Drosophila melanogaster: one gene and its partner. The protein of the gene in region 1 interacts with the protein of each later gene in a pairwise test. Each region holds a gene or a part of one and is shown in the gene's direction. Other genes may lie near its edges.

Region 1 (8,825 bases):
TCATTTTTTTTAACGTATGCATATTAACATTGGTAGAGATTCGAGTTTAAGTTGGTTTCCATTTTTAAGTTGAGTATTGTTTTTTATTCGTTGGATTTACGAAATGAGGCGGAGAAAATATGAAAGTAAAGAACACAAATATGGACACAAAATTAAGGGGGTGATTTGGTTTTTGTTCATTAGATTGTGCTTTTTGGCTATTAAGAACTAAAAATCACCCAATTCTAAAAAATTGCAGTTCACCTGCCCAGGATTATGAAAAATGAAACAACAAATGTGGCCATAGGTTGGCAGATGTGCAACTGCTAAGTAATCATGAACGAATTTTTTCAGTGATGATGCAAAACGTGTGATAGGGGTAAATGCAGTACCTCAAAACCTGCCATTATCTTTACACCTTGAAATAAATGTTCTCTTGCTAATTAAGACTAGGTAAATTCCATAAACCGTATCATATCGGTTTTTAATCAATTTCTAAGGCAGTGACAGTTTTTAAATGTCGCTAAGGGAGCGGTTGAGAAATGTATGGCTGTGAGCATTGATAATAACTATGGGAAGTTGGCGCGAAATGGTAGGTATATGACCATCTATATGTGGAAAGATAAGGAACAACAATAATAAAGACCTAAACATAAAAATATACTTGCTTTACCAAACGAATGGTTCCTAATATTGTACATATATCTCATCCACTAGTGTTTAAAATAGAACAAAATAAATGAAAAAACTGCACATGATGATCACAGACATTGGACAGAGCGCAGTTTTTAACCGCTTTAAAAATTTAGCCATAAATTTAAGCTTCACATGGTAGTAAACCTTCTACAAATTACACCACCAGACATATGAGCTGAATGAGGGCTTTCACACGTGGGAATGGTGTTCCAAGGCCACTGATGATGGATCGTTACCCTAGTAGATGACATCATAACTGGGTCTAGCAAAACGGAAGTAAGAGCACTCCATGTGGACCCCATTCACTTACAGGTCCTATCACGGGCTTGGGCTCAACGAAGACCCCTGCATCCTGCGGCTTTAGCCGGGCACCCAGGCTATTAGTGGGACTCCGGGTGGCGGGCGTTCCAGCGCCAATGGGCGTAGCATCGCTGTCGGATGAGGCGGCGGCATTCACTCTCACGGCGGGCTCGGGAAAGATGAACTCCTGGGCCACCTCGGGCGGCAGCTTTCGACTGAAATGGCCAGGGATTAATTAAACATTTTTACGGGGTAAGCCACAAGAACCTACCACAAAGTCGAATGGCGATTGGGCGTAGTGTCCTCGGCATCGAAAAACTCCTCTGAACTGTCCGAATCCGTTTCCAGCTTACTCATTTCGTGATTTGTGCGTTTGTGATGGGTTGTCGGCGTTATCTAACCACCCAATCGTATGCAAATTATCCACCAAATTACGATTTTCTCTATGGTTTTTTGTTATTGATTCCCTTTTGTTGCTGCGGCGCCCCACTGTCTTTTGTTGTTGTTGCTTTGTTGCTTTCTACTCGTGTGACGTCACTCGCTGCCGCACTAGCGCTGAATGCACTGCATTTAACATGTTGCTATCGCCTGCGTTTTATTACACATAATTATACTGCTAATTTAGTTCCTAATCAATTGTTAATTGAGTTTTTACGCTTGATACGCGTAAATACTAGTGGTGTCAAAGATGCAATAATGATTTCGATTGCGTCAAGTATGATTAATAAGCAATCGATTGAACTAGCGATGGGCTATTGGTCGTGCTTGCTCGTGACACGCAAAAATGCGGCGAGAGTCCGCGCGTATTTTAAATTTATACACTGTATTAAATTTATACAAAAACCTAATGTTTTATGTTTATATTCCAATATTAAATCGAAAATATATATATACAAAATTTTTAATTTCCTACATCTCGCTTTGAAAATAACGTATTTGAGGCAATAGGGGGCATTTAAATATTTTCTACATAAGTCGGATTTCTACATATATGTGCCTAATTTTACTATGGTATTTAATTATCGATCACTGGTAGTCACACAGCTGATATCAAGCTCCCCCACCATTGTTGGGATCTCTGCTAAGATAAAATTCAACCTGTTATCGATAACCGACATTTTTGATTGTGGACTGCCACCGCTATCGAAATGCACCATATTGCTTTGTTATTGTATTTTCCGCACGGCCCTCGAACAAAGTAAACAAATGTATAAATGCATGTGTTTTTGGCGAGCTTGTAACTGTTAGTGAAGCGACGCGCGGAGCGACGACATCAACATTAAGCCCGTGTTTCGAGTTAGGCGAGGCCAGGCGTACGTTTAACCCACGCAGAGCCCGGGCGAAATAAACGTAAATTCACGCAATTACTTCGCAGTAAAAAAAGCATCGGGTGCCAATGATCGCTACTACGCAATAGAAAAGTAATTTATCATACAATTTCGCCACTGCAAAAATCGAAAGTTTCGGGTTTTATTCCCTGCTATAAAAGTGATAAGAGCACGTTAACCCGTTCCTGTTACAGCTGAATAACGGTAAAAATAACTGCACACCCATCCCAACCGATTATCTGAAATCGGGCTCGAAGACAAAGTCTGGTATTTAATGGCAGCCACCTAATGATTATGTGACATTTCGCTTTGTGGTGAAAGAGATCCTAATCCATTAAAACTATATACTATATGCATGAATGTAGGATCTAGAAGATGAAAACATAAGTGCTTAAATCGACTCAGCTGGTGTTGCTTATCAGTTATGTACAAAGTACATATGTTTCTCTGTAGATAATTCCATTGTTTTATCGTGCGGTTTCAAATAAAAGCATCAGAGACGTTTTCGAAAAATGTGTTGAATTTTTAGAAGTACATGATACGATACTTCTTTTGAGCAAACTTCCAACTTCCGCATAGATCTCTTGATATGCCGCATAACTAACCTAGTGTAAGATTATCATCTGCACGTCACTAATAGCGGCCATATTTGAGTAATTTTGAACAGTACTCAATCTAATCTCGAATCTGTGCTCTGAACACTATAATCATATTGAGCGTATTGCGTTTTATCAGCGGTACATATATGTATGTATGTATATAGAAAAACAAATGGACTAGACTTTGTTGAACAACAATACAATGATAACTTGTTTGGCAAACTGGTTTCGCGGCTTCAATCTTGTTTATTAATAATGTAGAATCGAAGGGTTTGCTTCTCCGTATGCTGGTTAATCAAACTCAAAGCCATGTGATACTCAGTGCTCGGTTGTGGGTGTAGACATATGCACATAGTACCCTGATCGGAACAAAGAACTTTCTTCGGTGTTCTAGGTGATTTACAAGGGTGACAAATCTATTTATGACTAGTGCAGCAAAGCTGAAGCTCGATTAAAACTCGGGAATGTACCAAGTTTCCTTTTTCCCATGCCATACACTTTAATATTCTTTGTTGATGAATTCCCTTTATCTATACTTTCTTTATATCTGCTCGGGCACACTCCTTATCACCCAAGGGACCAAGTTTCTCATTCGGATTGTTTGCCCCGCACGTTTTGATTGATAATCAAAGCATGTTCACTACGCCATGTCCCAGTTTTAGTGCAGCGTGCAAAATAATCTCTGCCATTTTGATGATCCATTCAAAAGTTTGCGGCCCTACTGGCGACAATAATGATTCACAAGTGATTGGCGAGCTAGCAACTCTTTTAATTGCATCTTTACGCCAAATTGTATTTATAGCACGAGCTTTGGAGTCCCCTGTTTATATTTTCTTTTCAATTCATCTATAAGAAGGCGAAGAAGACGATAATTGCACCACAACGAGCTCAGTTACCGACGCGATAACACACGAATTGTGGAGCTTGGAGCATAAATTTCCGCATTAGCAACGCTCAAGTGTGATATAGTTTACTGGTATTGTGTTAACAGTTGGCAGTATACAAATACCTCACGCCACAAATCAACTTTAAATCGCAGAAGAATCTATTGTCCTCTAGTCTTCCAGCAAAATAGTGCCACATTATGTTTATTAAGTACTTGTGCGATTCGCCATATTCGTGAATAACTAACTAACTATCTGAGTGTAATTGACAGGATTCCCGGAATTAATCTGAACTGTCTTTTCAGTGAAGGCTCGCCCAAGAAACACAGCAATTAGTGCAACAGCTAAACAGATAATCCCGAGTTATTGTGCCGAAATTGAATTATTTACTCATCTGATCAAACCGTAAAAGCAAACTTGAGTGGCTTCCTAGTAGCGATTTTCGACTAATTTAAAAGAAACCTGAATCTGAACAAGAAGACTCTCTTTGCTATTGTTGTTTTGCGAATCTTTAAAGGGCAAATACAGTAGAATAACAATAAAAGCGTGAAACAGTCATAGTTCGCATAGAGTATTTGTAATATTGGAACAGATGAACTGAATGATAGTTAATACAGCCTCCTAGTCTCAGTCTTTAGAGATATTTTGGGTAACTCAAGTAATTACACGATGTCTAAATCTAATCTAGCTCATTTGCTTTCTGATAGTTCAATGACAACGACACTGCGAAAGATAAGAGTGTAGTATATACGTATATAGTTATTGTATAGCCATAGCTTACCGGATTGATTTCGCATCTCGCTACTGAAGTTCCGAGGCATTCCCATTCTGCCCGTTCTGTCGGGGATTAGACATCATTCGTCCGCTTCCAAGTTTGATTCCCCAATACACATGCGGAGTATTGCCGCTTAGCAAAACCGCCGAAATCATGTCACTCCATTGTGCCAGCGCCATCGTAATCTTATCGCGGCAAAGTGAACAGTTTAAGCTGCATCGTGCACATCAAATCGGAAATCAAATGGAAACAAAGTATCTTGACGTGGGCGTTCCGAAGCAGCGTCTCCTGAAAATTCGTTTAGTCTGTTTCTGCACATTGGAAGCGTCGGTTATCGAGCTTGGAAATTAATTTTCGCCCAATTTACAATCTGTTTTGGTTGGTGGCAGTGATATAAAAGTAGTTTACGATCGAGAGAAGTTTGATTTACAAGTAGAATTCTTCTACTAATCGTACAGCAGATTCTAAAATAAAAAATCCTGGAAAGCAATCACATTCAAACTAACTAACTGCATCTAAATTGCTTATTAATTATGGAAAAAGCCAATTAATTATTGCTCGAACTCGAACAAGCCATATTGGCAAATATATATTTATCATTTAAGTACCTGCATTTTAGATAAAGTCTACCAGGTTCGCTGTGATACGGGTAACAAGTTCCACAACGAACAATTTGATATTTTATTGGTTATAGTGAGGCAGGACACGCTTACTCATCCTGATGGAGTAGCTATCGGGCAATGGTCTTAGTTTGATTGACTGCCGTTCCCTATGAAGCCGTCTAGTCACACTTAAGTTGCCATGATTAAATTTTACAGAGACTCGCTTATCGAACCTGACAACGAGCGCAGTTGAGAGAGTTTTTCCCTGCCCCTTTATTGATTATGGCTGACATTGTCCATATCTAAAGGATTTTCGCATCACCGTCTGTCTGATACTAAGAACCGCATCTAGTTATTCAATGATTTTGTTGCCAGGTGGCGGATTTGGGGAAACATTTGCTTAACTGGCTATTTGTATCAAAATTTACGTGTGTGCTGACATTTCTTAAACCATTTAAATTATATTTTCTTTACTAGCCGAGTCATCATCGATCACGGCACATACTCCACCGAAAGTCACTGGACATGAGCAGGCAGCAGTGACTGAAGAAACCCAACCCAGTTCCAGCACAGAGCAGCGCATAAGTAGCCGTAAAAAGGCAGCCGAAAATGACCACGAACAGCAGCTTCTTCGATGAACACATCGCCATGATATACTCCAACCTGATGGACCAGTACATGCCCGAGTACTTCAAAAGCTTTGAGTACACGCCATGGGTTTTCTCCCTGCTGGGATCGGTGGTAATTGGACTGAGTGGCATATTCCCGCTGATCATCATTCCCACGGAGGAGAAAATGGCTAAGGAGGGATACAAAGATCGTAAGTCACATGCGTACGAAAAGTATATCAATTGAACTTGAATCACATCTCACCCTACAGCTGCAGATTCAAAACTCCTGCGAGTGCTTCTGAGTTTCGCGGTCGGCGGTCTGCTGGGCGATGTGTTCCTTCACCTGTTGCCAGAAGCCTGGGAGGGCGATAATCAAGGTGAGTTGCGGGGAAATCCAAGTTGTGAAATCATCTCCATAATATTCGTTTTCCTCCTAAAGATCCTTCTAGTCACCCATCCCTGCGCTCGGGCCTTTGGGTACTTTCCGGCATACTGATCTTCACGATCGTGGAGAAAATCTTTTCCGGATATGCCAGCGCGGACGAGGAGAACCCTCAGCCCAAGTGCGTGGAGATAGCCAACTGCCTGTTGCGTCGACATGGCGGCCAACTACCAGAGGGCGAAACCTCTGAGAGTTGTGGCGGCGCCTGCGACATCGAAGATGTAGGTAAAGTCTGTTTCCTACGCGAGCAGGAACAGAAGTCAAAGGAAAGGAAGGAACAGCCGAAGAAGGTGGCTGGTTATCTGAACCTCTTGGCCAACTCAATTGACAATTTCACACACGGTCTAGCCGTGGCTGGATCCTTTTTGGTGTCCTTCAGACACGGCATTCTAGCCACTTTTGCCATATTGCGTAAGTACTTATAGATACTATTGAAACATAGGATAGTTCCTCACTTATTTCCCTACATACAGTTCATGAAATTCCGCACGAGGTGGGGGATTTCGCAATCCTGCTTCGATCCGGATTCAGTCGCTGGGACGCCGCGCGTGCGCAACTACTCACGGCGGGAGCTGGCCTGCTCGGTGCTCTGGTGGCCATCGGAGGCTCCGGCGTAACGTCGGCCATGGGTAAGCTTAAATGGGCTCTCCGTGTGACAAACAAGCAAACTTATCTTTACATTTACAGAGGCACGTACTTCGTGGATTATGCCGTTCACCGCCGGCGGCTTTCTGCACATTGCTCTGGTCACAGTATTACCTGATCTCTTGAAGGAGGAGGAGCGCAAGGAGTCCATTAAGCAGCTGCTAGCACTGGTATTTGGCATTGCGTTAATGGCCGTGATGACCATGCTATTCGAACACTAGGAACTTTAGCTGACAGCAGTATAAGAAGAAAATTGAAAGCAGTTTTTAGTTTGTTCTAAGATTGTCATTGGCAGTTTTAAATTAACATGAATTTGTTGTACTTTATGGGATTCGACATCCTGTCTGCGTTATGTAATTATAGCCAATATGAATGATATTTAAACTATTATTAATGATTACGTATTACTGTATCATACTTATGAAACGAAAATTCAATAGACATTTAAGGGAGAGTCCTTTGCCCTCCACTATCCACGAACATTCTTATCTTTTATCTGGACTTTATTTGGGTAACAAAAGCGTCCACTATTTGGGCTGCATTTCTTTGTCAGCAGGAAAATTAAAGAACAAAATCAGAAAAATGCACTTCCTATAAAAAACAAGTTGTTTTATTCCGTTTTTGTTTGCAAATCATGTCTTGCAAGCTTATCTAGTGCCTTTATTTCTTAGACTTGATCTTCTTAAGGTAGAATTCCAACTCCTTGCCTTCCAAAATGTAGCCGTCGGAGCGACCGCACTGTCCGGGGCGGGAAGAAATGCAAGCTGAAAGGAAAAATAACAGGGAATTAGAGCGGGGCTTCCAGTAAATGGAAAAGTATAAGTTTAGTGGTCTGATCAGAGTAACTATGACAAGCAGAATCACACCCAACAGGCTTGCGTCTCTCTTAAAACAAGATCAACACAATAAAGTAGCTGGATCGCTAGGGTTTTTACATCACTATAACAAAAATCATTAATCATGAATTAGAAAGAATACACACCCAAGATGCGGCCGGAGGTGAACTGATCCTCGAGGGCCTGCTCGACCTTGCCGTACTTCTGGCGCTCCAGGTACTTCTTCATAACCTTTTCGCTGCGCTTCTTGGTCAGCACGTCGTTCTCGTCCTCTTTCTGGGCGTGCTTGGGGTTACGCTTGCGTCCCAGGGGCAGCACGTAGTGAGCCTCGTACCACTGGCGGAAGGGCGTGGCATCGATGACCACGATGCTGTTCTTCACCAAGGTCTTGGTTCGCACCAGCTCGTTGTTGGAGGCGTTGTACACAACATCGGCGATACGGGTCTTGCGCGCCACTCCCTCGGAGGCCCAGGCGAAGTTTCCGGTTTCCAGGCGCAGAGCACGGAGCTTGGTGTTTCCACCACGGGTGCGCACCTTGTGCACGCGGCCGGAGCCAAGCTGAAAAAATGAGTTCAAGAGTTAGTCCGGGCATACAGACGGGAGACCTTATGGAGGGAACGATATATTTATCAGTAGTCCGAACATAAAGCTTTTCAATCATCAAGAAGAGTACTCGAGAGCACAATTGCAGTTGACACGCGTTAACATCATTTAACATTGCATTTGTATATTAGGACCAATTATCTCATACTTTTCACAGATTTGTCGGTGAATTCCAACTTAAACTTAGATAGGCATGTAAACAATCTCTTAAAATAAAACATGGTATAACGATCATTGAAAACAATCGCAATCGTACGACATAAAAACCATGTGTATACTATCCAAGTCACGATGGTAAGATAAAAACAATGAAAATGTGCTTGGTTTTCAAGCACACATTTCGGCACCGACCAATAAAACTTAATGGGAGTATGAGAAACTGGACCCTGGCATTCGAATACACGCCATTGCGATTATCCGGAGATTATCCTTACCTTGGTGTTGGCGGCGGGGCGTCCCAACTCGAACTTGCGCTTCTTGCGGAGCGACTTGCGCTTGCCTCCGGTGGCCCGGCGTTTGTGTGCA
Region 2 (4,178 bases), on another chromosome or scaffold:
TCATAGTCATAACGAGATTTGAGGTCTGCCATGTTCACACAATCTTCCTCTTCTCCGCCGACTTGAGACATAACTCATAACTGCACAATTACCTGATTATTTTAATTAGCCTAAAAATAAAATTAAAATAAAAAAGTTGAGCAAGTGCAGGAAAAAATTGAGGTGACAACACATAGGAAATGTCTAAATATACGAACAAACGCTGGCGATAGCATAAATCACCGGCGAGGGGAAACAGGGAAACTGTAACTGCAAACAAGTTAATGAATGTATCTGTGGGATACATCTGCATGGAGAGAAAGACTCGACAAATAGAGTTGGCCGAAAAGCAAAAGGCGGCTATAAAAAGCGTTAACAAGACAACAACAGCAATTGGCGAACAATAAAATACACTTAGCAGCCGAAGAAGAAGCGAATAACCACTAAATTGCTGTTAACAATTCTTGGAGTGCCCAGCCAAGCCAGTCAGCAAAGGCAAATACATTTTTCTGTCTGCCAAAAGTGGGTCAGCAAGAAAAGCCTCCCCCTTTCCATTTTATAGAAGTCTTCAATGCCAGCCGCAAGCGTTTTCATCAGCCAACTCTGCAAACGCAAACTCTTTCTCTCGCGTGTTAGTTAGATTTTAACTACCGTTTAAGAAGTATCGTACGGCTACTCTCAACTCTTCGCAACTGAACTCCACTCCGCTCCGCTCCTCTTGGCGTCCATTAATCACCTTCAGTCGGTGCAAAGAGTCAATTCACCAGCGAACAGCCTGCCAAATGTGTTCCACGCAACTGCTCAATCTCCGTATCTTTTGGGTGCCTGGAACGAGGCGCACATTTGGCTTTTATCACTCGATCCGCACCAAATAAACTACAAAGCCCCTAACGCGAAAACAGAGAAAAACGTATTTGTGTTCCAGATTTTGGCGCATTTACGGCTTGCGTAAAAATTTCCGATCGGACCAGACCGAAGAAAATTCTGTTGCAGCTCTTAATGGGTTGTTGGATACAAAAACTCGGCGGGACATGAGAAAATAATCCGCACACACTGCAAATACTGCGAATAAATCACAGAAGTTGTAAACTCATTTGAAGTGCATTTGATTTGAGACAAGTAAGTCAAATATGATTCCTTTTACAAGCATAAACATTTTATTTATTCCCGTGCGATATCGATTGAGCTCTTTCCAAAATTTAACCGTGGTAGATGTGGTGTCCATAGGTGGGAACAGCGTAGGACTTCAGCACAGGGACATGCTGAACCACTGGGACATTCTTCACCACCGGAACGTGCTGCACCACTGGAACAGATTTCACCACGGGCACCACTTGGGCTACAGGAACCACACCGTAGGAGGGCTCAATGTAACCAGGAGCAGCAAAAGCCATTGCTACCAGGGCGAAGATCACAGCGATCTAAGGAGATATTTTGTAATATGAAAAATCACAAGGATTTACTTTATAATTTCGTGAACTTACAATGCGGAACATTTTGGTATTTTCTTAGTAATTTACAAACTTGACTTGGAGATATTGTCACTTGGATGCTTGTAGGACGACTGGTGATGCTGACCAATGGATCAGTTACTTTATATAGCCAAAAATCACTTCAATAACAACTTCTAAATGGGCAAACGTGTTTGGCCATAATTCTTCTGTTTAATTGAGAGAATGGATTTATCAGTTGACCCAAAGGTGCCTCATATAGGTCTTTTTTTGTGGACATGACCTTGGTTCTTGGTGATCATCACAAACGCGTGAAGACGATCGATATAATGACAATGGTCTTGGAAGTAAACAATAATAAGCACACGGATCTAAAAACAGCAAACAATTGAGAAGTCATTGAATGGGGATTATGTCCAAAGGTTAAGCAATAACGACCGATAACGGGAAGTTCGCCGCTGGAGATGGTTTCATACCAAATAGAATGCGCATTATTCGAAGATACCAAATTTAAGATAATTAAACTGGTTTGGCGCGTGGCGTTCGAACAGAAGTCATTTGTGGGCTATTTTCGGCTGAGGTGCTAACTACTATATATAATGATTCCACGGATGGTCAATCAACAACAGTCGTCCGGCTAACACAAACGTTCGATAACCACAAGTTAAAGTTTTTAACTCACAACAAAATACCAAAATGTTCCGCATTGTAAGTTCACGAAATTATAAAGTAAATCCTTAGGATTTTTCATATTACAAAATATCTCCTTAGATCGCTGTAATCTTCGCCCTGGTAGCAATGGCTTTTGCTGCTCCTGGTTACATTGAGCCCTCCTACGGAGTGGTTCCTGTGGCCCAGGTGGTGCCCGTGGTGAAATCTGTTCCGGTGGTGAAGCATGTTCCAGTGGTGCAGCATGTTCCGGTGGTGAAAAATGTCCCAGTGGTTCAGCATGTCCCTGTGCTGAAGTCCTACGCTGTTCCCACCTATGGACACCACATCTACCATGGTTAAATTATTGTAGCACAACCCCATTAGAAATTGACCCGACATAAATAAATTGCCAACCAAATCGAACTTATCTTTATTTTCTGGTATAGAGCGAGGATAAACTTTTGGGTCATGCCATCGGGACTGGCTTAATTTTTATACTTACAATTAAATGATGCATGTTTTTTCCTACATCAAGGAAATAATTCTCGTAAAAATTACGTACCCAACACCCTTTCGTGGTCAGCACTTTCCATTTTACACATTTTATAGCAACTAAAGTTGTCCGCAGACCCCAGTGGTTTCCATGGCTGACTGATTATTTTATGGGACATTTTGTAAAATTTAATTTCACCTCGCTCATTTTGTTATTTGCGAATAGTCACACATAAAGTCGTTAACAAGGCGGCAAGCTTCCAGGGGAAATTTCTTCATTAATCAGCGGAATAAAGTGACGCCTCTAAACTGCAGCTGCATCTTCTCCACCTCCCCCCCTCCCACCACCCCTTACCCGACAGACGTTGCCATTAAAACCCAATCCCAGCTCGTCTTTAATTTGAGCCAATTAAAGTGGCGACAAAGCAAAGCCTTACAGCCCGCTTCAAACACTCTGAGCCAGCCGCCTTTCCCTTTGGCTTTTTCCCCGGTTGCGGTTCGATCTCGTGTCGATGATGAACCTGAATGGATCGTACATTAATTTTTCATTGTTTTTTATTTGGGGCTTTATTCGGGTTATTAAATCGCTGGCTAGAAAAACTCTCAAGCGATTTGGTAAAACAAAAAAAAAAAATAACATCGAAATAAGCAGACAAAAATATAAAAATAAATTGTGTTCGAAAGTCAATTTTGTGAACAGGCTTTTTGGGCCTTTTTTGTGGCAGGTTTTGTTTTTTCTATTGCCAAAAGATTTATTGTTAGCGTTTTCTTCTTAATTTTCCCCACATTTCATTTCGGTTTCGATTTTCAGTTTCAGCTTTGTTTTTCAGCCTGCTGCTACCATTCAGGTTCCACTTCCTTTTCAGTTTAAAGTAAATTTCTCGGCCAGAGTTGGGCAATTTTATTACTCTATTAGGGGGAAAAAATAGTAATTTGCTGCTCGATTATGACGAAATCATTTGATCCGCTTCACATGTGACGTCGTCTTTTTGTTGGGCCTGTCTCTCCTTTTGTGTGGTTTCTTTTTTGTCTGTGGTAATGACTTCATCGTCGCCCAGCTACCCAATCCTATCCTATCCGCAGCTCATTTGATAAATTATCCAACAGTTTGTAATAATATTTTTCGTAGCCGCTCAGGGGGAGTTGCCTTCGATGCTTTTGTTTTCATTTTGTTAATTATCCGCTATAATTGTTAATTTAAATTATGAAGGAAAGTGAAACTCAATTGAACTTGAGAGACCCCCCCCCCCCCCCCTTCAGTCCATCTCTATCTCGTGTGTTATTCTCTTGTGGATTTGGGCGTGTTTCCGATCGATGAAGCAGAGAAATGTTTTTCGATCGTATTGGATTTGGAGTTAGATTCGCCCCAGTCAGCCGTTTTAGCCGTATTAACAAATTGTTTGTTTCAATGTTTCGATAATAGTGTAATCAAGTTACAAATAGCGTAGCTCTTTTTAGTGCAATTTCAAACACTCGTAGCTGCTTTTAGTACCTCGCGACCTTTAATCAACACCTCAACTGCTAAATGACTGCACGTGACTGCACATTACAATTCAGTTAGGCTCAAGTTCAACTGAACTACGCCAAATAAAATGGAAAGTTTAT

What was found.
Region 2: the proteins of Zip99C (region 1) and CG34268 interact in a two-hybrid assay, tested with the Drosophila melanogaster proteins (one large-scale study listed by BioGRID).

Annotation. Positions count from the first base shown.
Region 1 is NT_033777.3:29,862,215-29,871,039, reverse strand, and holds Zip99C (Zinc/iron regulated transporter-related protein 99C), read left to right. Parts: upstream 1-2,144; 5' UTR 2,145-2,507; intron 2,508-2,968; exon of another isoform or gene 2,969-3,050; intron 3,051-3,222; exon of another isoform or gene 3,223-3,296; intron 3,297-3,825; exon of another isoform or gene 3,826-3,860; intron 3,861-4,505; exon of another isoform or gene 4,506-4,524; intron 4,525-4,859; exon of another isoform or gene 4,860-4,939; intron 4,940-5,527; exon of another isoform or gene 5,528-5,640; 5' UTR 5,641-5,772; coding exon 5,773-5,983; intron 5,984-6,043; coding exon 6,044-6,151; intron 6,152-6,213; coding exon 6,214-6,627; intron 6,628-6,689; coding exon 6,690-6,845; intron 6,846-6,903; coding exon 6,904-7,082; 3' UTR 7,083-7,339; downstream 7,340-8,825. Other genes in the region: CG34133 (uncharacterized protein), read right to left, coding at 986-1,190, 1,247-1,332; RpS8 (ribosomal protein S8), read right to left, coding at 7,522-7,625, 7,844-8,255, 8,735-8,825. UniProt on the Drosophila melanogaster protein: Involved in zinc transport and homeostasis.
Region 2 is NT_037436.4:498,899-503,076, forward strand, and holds CG34268 (uncharacterized protein), read left to right. Parts: upstream 1-2,066; 5' UTR 2,067-2,126; coding exon 2,127-2,138; intron 2,139-2,201; coding exon 2,202-2,441; 3' UTR 2,442-2,502; downstream 2,503-4,178. Other genes in the region: CG34267 (uncharacterized protein), read right to left, coding at 1,179-1,400, 1,464-1,475.